Linked DNA regions of Saccharomyces cerevisiae S288C. Changing the gene in region 2 together with the main gene of any one other region gives a genetic interaction. Each region holds a gene or a part of one and is shown on either strand. Other genes may lie near its edges. The genes, in order: TDP1 and RHO5.

What was found.
Region 1: mutations in RHO5 (region 2) and TDP1 are lethal when combined (synthetic lethality), as found in Saccharomyces cerevisiae (one study listed by BioGRID).

Annotation. Positions count from the first base shown.
Region 1 is NC_001134.8:667,915-672,355, forward strand, and holds TDP1 (tyrosyl-DNA phosphodiesterase 1), read right to left. Parts: upstream 2,384-4,441; coding exon 749-2,383; downstream 1-748. Other genes in the region: PCS60 (Pcs60p), read right to left, coding at 1-437; YBR225W (uncharacterized protein), read left to right, coding at 2,713-4,441. UniProt on the Saccharomyces cerevisiae protein: DNA repair enzyme that can remove a variety of covalent adducts from DNA through hydrolysis of a 3'-phosphodiester bond, giving rise to DNA with a free 3' phosphate.
Region 2 is NC_001146.8:299,127-302,559, forward strand, and holds RHO5 (Rho family GTPase RHO5), read right to left. Parts: upstream 1,524-3,433; coding exon 528-1,523; downstream 1-527. Other genes in the region: PBR1 (putative oxidoreductase), read left to right, coding at 1-432. UniProt on the Saccharomyces cerevisiae protein: Small GTPase that negatively regulates a MAP kinase branch, downstream of SLT2, of the PKC1-mediated signal transduction pathway.

The DNA.
Region 1 (4,441 bases), on a different chromosome or scaffold from region 2:
GTCGCATCGAAGGCCAGCTCTACGATAAAACATCCAAACGTGGAGGCAGATTTTAGAATTTCAGAACTCTGTAACTTTGTGGTACCCTTTGGGACGCAAATCGCCTTAGATTTCAGGTCATTCAAATAAAAATTGAACTCCTTTTCCTTATAATTGGGATTCAAGGGCGCGCCAATTTTAGCGTCCATAGTAGCACCGAGGAAAGCGACGATAAATTCCAGCCCATTACGCATGGATATCGCCACTGTATCTTGTCTGAAAACAGCTCCGTACAATGGAGAATTAGGATTTGTGAACATGGTCTGGAAGTGACCCACCATGTGGGATAGATCCCTGTAGGTCACCTGAGTGTCCGTTTCAGGAACAATAACGGCGACATTATCGGATACGCTAAAAGTATCGTTGAACGAAGCAGTAACAGTAGCGGCACTTGTCATTGTAGCAAAAATGTGCGTGAAGCGTCTAACCTCTTGCAGCACAGTGGGAGTAAATTTCAAGAAGGAGCATCTATTAAAAAGAGCTTTTAATCATACCATCTCTATTTATATACAGTTAATCTTGAAAAATAAAAAAAGACCGAATAAAGGACTCGGAAGCTTTAGCTCGGAATAGTTAAAGACGCTTTCGGCCCGAGAAAAAAATATTCTGAGCACCAAAATCCAATCGCCTGAAGTTTATCAAGTAAATTTGCCATTCCTGGCCCCATATAGTGATGCCTAAGTGGACAGCAACATCGCGCTCTTACTTGTTAGTCGTTCTCATGACGAGCAAGGCAAAAGCACTCGTCCTCAGCTAAGTCGTATGGTATGACTGGCAGCGTGAATGGCACGGCCACATGGGTGGGATTACCCGCGCAGCCTCTACGGTCACGTGTAAAAGTACGGCACGTGACCTTCCTGGTATTTGCTAACCTGCGACTATGGTAAAGCACTCCTGCTTCATAATTGCGTGGTTTTCTTGAAACGGTGCCCCATGCTGTTTGGCTGAGGTTTGCCGAAGTATAAAGGCACCATTCTAGTTCTTTAAATACCTGCGATGCATCACAGGGCCCTGCGGAGTTTGTTGCACAATGCATGTAAAACTTAGAGTGCGCGGGCGTCGTCCCTCGTCTTCTAGTAACCATAGCAGGGTCTTGCTTGTAAAATACTTTGAACTTGTTTCGCAGCATTTCGTAGTAGCTCTTTTTCTGAAGATATTGAAAATGAAACCACCCGGAACTGGACCACTTTAAGGGACTGGTGACAAACTCTTGTTCGGTGGGGAAAATAATGTACGGCTTGATTTTTCTCTGCGAATATTCATTAATCAATGAATTCGTTGGCAGTATTTCTGCTTTCTTCCTCCCAGCGGTGTCCTTTGCTGGAGGGGACATGATTCCGGTAAACAGAGGAATCATTAGATGTGTCCATAAGTTTTCGTCTCGCGCTCTTGATAGAGATGTCCCTATGGATGAAGTTTGACATAGATAATGTTTTGCAGTATCACTAGCACTTGTGCCAGCAGAAAGTTTTTCTAGTTTATTGTAAAACGACAGTAAACCCGACGACTGAAATTTGGAGGGCGTAGAATATACAAATTCTAATTCGCTCAAAGGAGCAAAGTTAACTTCCTCTACGCTTTTTGTAATCAATTCGTCAATGTCTTTCAGGTGGTACGAATTGAGGTATTCTATCAAGCTTCTCTTAAACGGTACTGGTAGCCCTTCTTTACCTATTTTCAAAAGGGGACTGCACCAACACACCTGTTGAGGCAGGTTAGTCTCCATTGACGTAAAATTGTTAGATGGCAAGAATATTTTGCATTCGCCATTATCGTAAAAGTTTATGATCAGCTTCGTATGGTGGGAAGCGAATGGGGGCATCGTTATTTCAATAAGTTTGACCTTTTTTAATATTACTGCCAGTGTCGCGTCCATAGCACGGGCTTCGATAGGCATAATAGTACCCTTTTGGCCGACGATGGTTATGTTCTCTACGTTCTGGTGGAATTGTCTCAACAAGAAATCAAGTTCGTATTGGAAACTGAAGAGTATGCTTCTTTTTAGTGTCTCAGTGCCAAAGATATCTTTCAATGTAATCATATCCTCTACTTCTCCCATAAAATCCTCTCTTTCATAGAAGTCCGATTTCATTAGTTTAAAAACGGCACCTTTTGCCGTATCGTTTGTTTCTATTCTCTCACTCAAATCTTGTTCCTGATTAGTCAAATCAATGATTTTCGATTCACTGACTATGACGCAGTCGTCGCTATCATTGTTACTGTTGACCGGAGCCATATTCTCCATTTCAGCACTATACCTGACGCTCTTCCACCGTTGTGCTACTTTCTCGGCAACATCCGACCTCTTCCTCTTAGTTCCATTGAAATTTGTTTCTCGTGACATTAATGATCGGTTGAAAACACATTATCATCATTCTTGTCTGGGCTCACCGTTTCTCTGCATTATTTTCCTCTTTATAAGCCCTTTATTAAATTACCATTTTCGCAGTTTAGTGCGGCCGCCGAAAATACATCAGAAGGGATCCATACCAACACTTACCAAGAACGCTGAAACACGTTGTTCACATCACCTGAAACAAGCAGCAGCTACTGGAGAAGTGTGTAAAGTAGTAGTAATTATTAAAGGACACATATTGAAGGATTGTTCAATTTTCTTTTTTATTATTTTTCCCCTCATTTATCCACTTTTTATAAACTGCTCAAGTAAATACAATGGGCTCCAATAAGGAAGCAAAAAACATTGATAGTAAGAATGATAGGGGGTTAACCAGTATAACCAGTAACAAAATTTCCAACTTAAAAGCACATGATAACCATACAAGTTCAATGATTACTGAACATAAAAATGCTGACAAAGAAAAGGGGAAACAAGAAAAAGAGAGTAGAAATGGAACCACGCAATCAAGTAGTTCAGTAGAATCACACTCACCACAAGTAAGCCATCATTCAGATAAGCTCTCGTCCTTTGATTCGCCCTTACATTTGCCAAACTTTAGACTGGCGGATGACTTGTTCTCAAACTCGTCAAGACGATCATCTGACTCCGCTGCCTCATCCTCAGTATCCAAACTGAAGTCCGCTCAGCTTTCCAAAATAGGTCTACATCATCATCATACAAGTAATAATAAACATAGTCATAGAAGCGGAACTCCGACTTCCGAAGTGAAAGCTAATTACTCACCAGACCCTTCTGCACCGCGATTCATTGTATCCAATATGGTCGGCAATGGCCGGGGAGGTGGTGGTCTACACGGTGCAACTTCGAACGTTGTCAAGAAACTCCATTCTAGAAAAAAATGGGACTGGAACACTTTACCGGCATCAGATTCTTCTCTTCTAATCAAAACCGTTTCAGGAAATCATAATTTAATCAACATTTGCATAGACGGTGAATTCAAACAAATAATGTACGACCCGAATCATAATGAGCTCTTTAATAGAATGGACTTGTTTCTATCTTTTAACATGGACTCCTCGCCAGAAGACTCTTTAATATTTGCCAAGAAAAGATTACGGTCGTACATTGATTTCCTAACAAAATATTTGGAATCTAGGAAATATGCATTTGAATGTTATCCATTTAACATTGAAAACATCATAAATATAGAGACTGAGGTTAAATGCTTTCCATCGTTTGACCCGTTAAAAGATTATTCTGAAATTGAATCCTTGATTCAATTATGGTTGGCTCAATCTCAAAAATTTTTACTGCAATCAAATTCATTCTTCTTTTCATCTGAAGTAGTGGAGGAACTAATAAAAAGAAAACCAACCACAAGACAACATTCTAATCCAACAATCAGCACCACCAGCAACAAGATCAGTGACCCTACATTATATATTCAGCAGTTAGATATAGAAGCAAACTCTCCAAGGCCAGTAATATCGGATCCATTAGACGAAATTGACATCTTATTAATAAGACCGCTGCATAAAACCCTGGGCGGTTGGCAGCTGGCGTATGATGAACCAAGCTTGAACATCGCAGATTTCGCATTAGATTTATCTCCCTGGATGATTGACAGCAGTGACAATGACGCTCAGAATAAGAATGCTAGTGAAATTGCTCCTGAGTATTTAACAAACTTACAAAATTATTTGCCACGAAAGGGTTCAAGAGCGAAAATAGTTTCTGACGAACAAGAAGTTATCGAATTGAATTCTTCCAATGCTTCAGAGTATATGTATGATTGCATGAATAGAAAGTTCTTTACAGATGATGCAAAAGAACGTATTTCTAGAAACAACTTCAATCAGGGAGTTGAGGAAGACCCTCTAAACGACCAATTCGCTTCAAGTAGATCTTTATCATTGCCGTCCTCGGGAGCAGATGCTGTCAAAAGGAAGAAGAGCCCTACCAAGGCTACTAAAAAATCTGGTTTCGTCAACTTTTTCAAGAGAAAGCATTCTCAACTTGCATCAACTTCACATACTACAAGCC
Region 2 (3,433 bases):
ACAGGAAAAAATGTTACCATTACTATGGTTCAACCTGGAACTATGAGATCAAATAGCCTACGCCGCGTCATTAGTAATGGTTCGGTGGTATTGTTAATAATACTTTACTGTATTCTGTTGTACCCCATATTGTGGCTGTTTACCAAGAGTGGTCGTCGTGGTGATCAAAGTTTCTTGTACGCTTTAATGACACCGGAATTGGAGGAAGTAAACTTAAAAGACACGAAGGTTAAGTATATCTCAGACTGTTCAATTGTGAAATTTGCTCGTAAAGAATTTGATGACGAGGAATTACAGAAGAAACTATTTGATAATACGGAAAGAGATATTTTACAATTGGAAAAGAAAGTCGCGGCAAAGAGAAATGCCAATAAGACCGGGAATCAAAATTCTAAAAAGAAGAGTCAGAACAAGAGTAGAAAAGATGATTAGAAATGAGAACGTAAATATATGTGTAGATTTCTTTTTTTCTTATTTATGATATCGGTATATGTAATTATTTATTTACTTTTTCTGCCTCCTTGATATTAAAGTATTACACACTTTGACTTCTTTTTCTTCTTGTCGTTTCTCGTCTTTGGTTTAGCTTGCTTGTTGTGATGATTATTTGAGGCAATTTTACTACCTTTGCTTTTTGATTGCTCGTGAATTTTGTCTTTTTGTCCCTTTTTTGTGGGTTTGATATTGAGAGCTTCCTTCTCCTGCTGTAAGCTTCCTTTCGGAAGAGTACTATCTGTACTATTATTATGGTGTGGTTGCTGTTTTTGTTCTCGAATATTTTTATCTCCATTGGTGTTGGTTGTTGCAGTCGTTAATTCATCAGTTAGAGTATGATTTGCTGATTTTTGGTTAGGGGATTCTGGTTCGTAGATAGCGTACCTCACCGCCTGTTCAAAGACTTCCCGGACACCTGCTTGGGTAGCAGCTGAACATTCGGTATAGCCCATAAACCCACATCTTTGTACGAGTTCATCTATTTCCTCTTGAGACACGTAATCGGAGTTTGCTTCCTGCAATTTTTTCTGAGTTGCCGGATCATCTCTTAGGTCACTTTTGGTGCCTACCAATAGAATTGGATACTTCCCTAATTTAGTATAAAGAGAGGTACCTTCAATATTGGAAGTCTGCTTCAGTTCAGGTAGCCATTTTTCTGTGACATTGGCAAAACTAGCATGTTCGCTTACTGAGAAACATATTAAAAAAATATCTGTTTGGGGATAACATAACGGTCTTAAACGATCGTAATCTTCCTGTCCTGCAGTGTCCCATAAATTGATTTTATATAGTTTTCTGTCCGTACTTGGTGAAGAACTGGCAGATGAAAGTGAACCTCTTTTATCATTACCATTGTCAAGCTCTAGGGGGCTACTCGCAGTTCCGTTCGGGATAGCTATCGTAGTAGAATAATTATCAAAAACCGTTGGAACATAGTCTGTTGGGAACGAATTGGTAGTATATGATATTAGAAGTGACGTTTTACCTACTGCACCATCACCAATTATCACACATTTAATAGACCTCATCAGACTTATTAGTATACTATATTGTATTTAATAAATATTTCGGCGTGTGCTTTGTGGGTGCCACCTGTCTTGTATTTCCTATCCAACTGAATATTCTGGATATTGTCTTGTGCAATAGACCGGAAAAAAAAAAGTGAATGTTCCAACGCTTTGGAATACAATGATGGGTCAAGGATCGTGCTTTTGTTCGTTGGTGGATCGGCCGTACGTGTTTAGTGAGGGTACTATTTAAACTTACTTTAAATAGCAAAATAGGAAAAGCTACGAGAAACTGAAAAGTAAAAAAAAAAAAAAAAAATAAAAAAAAAAGAAAAAAAAAGGAGAAACATGATTGCCAGTACTCGCAAGAACTAAGATAGAGAGAAAAAGGACGATATATCAAGAAATAAAAGGGAAGGTAATTCAAGTAAGCACTGCTTAGCTGTCTGCATAGGAGCCTTCTGCAATTACTCATCTCATCGTATTCGTCATAACCCGTTACGTAACTGATTTGACCAAGAAGCGTAATGAAAATTTTGAGCGGACGCCGAAACGTTGTTTTTTTTTTGCTTTAGTCCAGATAATAACCTTTTATAATTTTCTTTTTAGGGAGGAAGACCGGTCTAAGCTCTTAGAGGTTCTCGCATACCCAAGTAAAAGCTAAGACCGAAGCAAACACGCAGGATAATTTTCCGGTTTACTCTCACTGCAGCTTTAGTATAGATGCAGATCTGGTATTGAGAGAGGGGGGCCGGAACGAAAAGATTCAGGGGAGAGAAAGGCCCGGGCGTCGGGGAACAAAACCACTTTTGCACACCTTAATTTTTTAGCTACTCTGTTTCTCCGGGCTTGTATGGCACATAAATAAAATTCTGCTACTTTCCATTATCTGGTCATCACTTACCGATGTGGAGAGCCTTGCCCTTGAAAAATAAGATAAGACCTCCGATTAGGGTATTTGAAATTAACCGCTGTAGAATGAAATAAGGACGCTTGTTTGACATTTTTTAGTTGCTTTCTCTATCTACCACCATTTGCATCTTGATTTATGTCTTGTTTGAGGAGATTTCGGATAAATATTCTTCGAGGGGAAAATGTCGTAAAAATAAAAACAATAAAGAAACAAAACGATTAAAAGAAAAACTCAACCATCCTCAAAAGTCCTCCTCTTTTTTTTCACGTGCTGCGCTGATGTAAGCAGCAGGACATGGCAGGAAGAAAATCGGAGAATTGTGGCCGCGACACCTGACAAACAATCCTCAGGCAAATGTAAAATTGTACATGAAAGGCTGCGTAGTCAATGTCTTAGAAGGCCGGCCCGCATGATCCAGAAGCAGACCATAAAAAAAATAAAAATTCGCGGTCTGGCAGCAGGCATAAGATGCATAGCGTTATCCTAAATGACATCACGATGATAAATCCTCCGCCGCATGATGCTTTTGATTTGCCTAAGGGCCTGCCATCGTGCTGGCTCAAACTATTGAGGGTCAACATACCTTGAAAATCCAAGTAAAAGGATGGATATCGTTATACTAAAAGCAACACAGAAAAGGTCCACGTCAGTTCCACACAATAACATTTACGTAGTGTTCACGCGAAGCAGTTACATCTCAACTAACATAATTGCTGGTGAGCCTACAACACTGCATGCGTAAACGTCAACGGGATTACGTTAGTATTTTTGGCCGCCGGTAAATTCTCTTGTTTTTTTTTCTTGATTTCACTTCTTTTCATGTTCCTTTGGAATAATCTAATTCCTCATGATTAAATGAGACTGTTTTTTGTTTCCGTAACATCCATACCTTTCCTGTATAATATTCTTGCTGTAAAGTTTGTTTTTTTTATGAAAAAAACATTTTCTTTTCTTGAGATGAGGCGCCGCGAGCCTTTCTCCCATGGGCAGTGGTAAATTTTCCAAATCAATGCAGCTC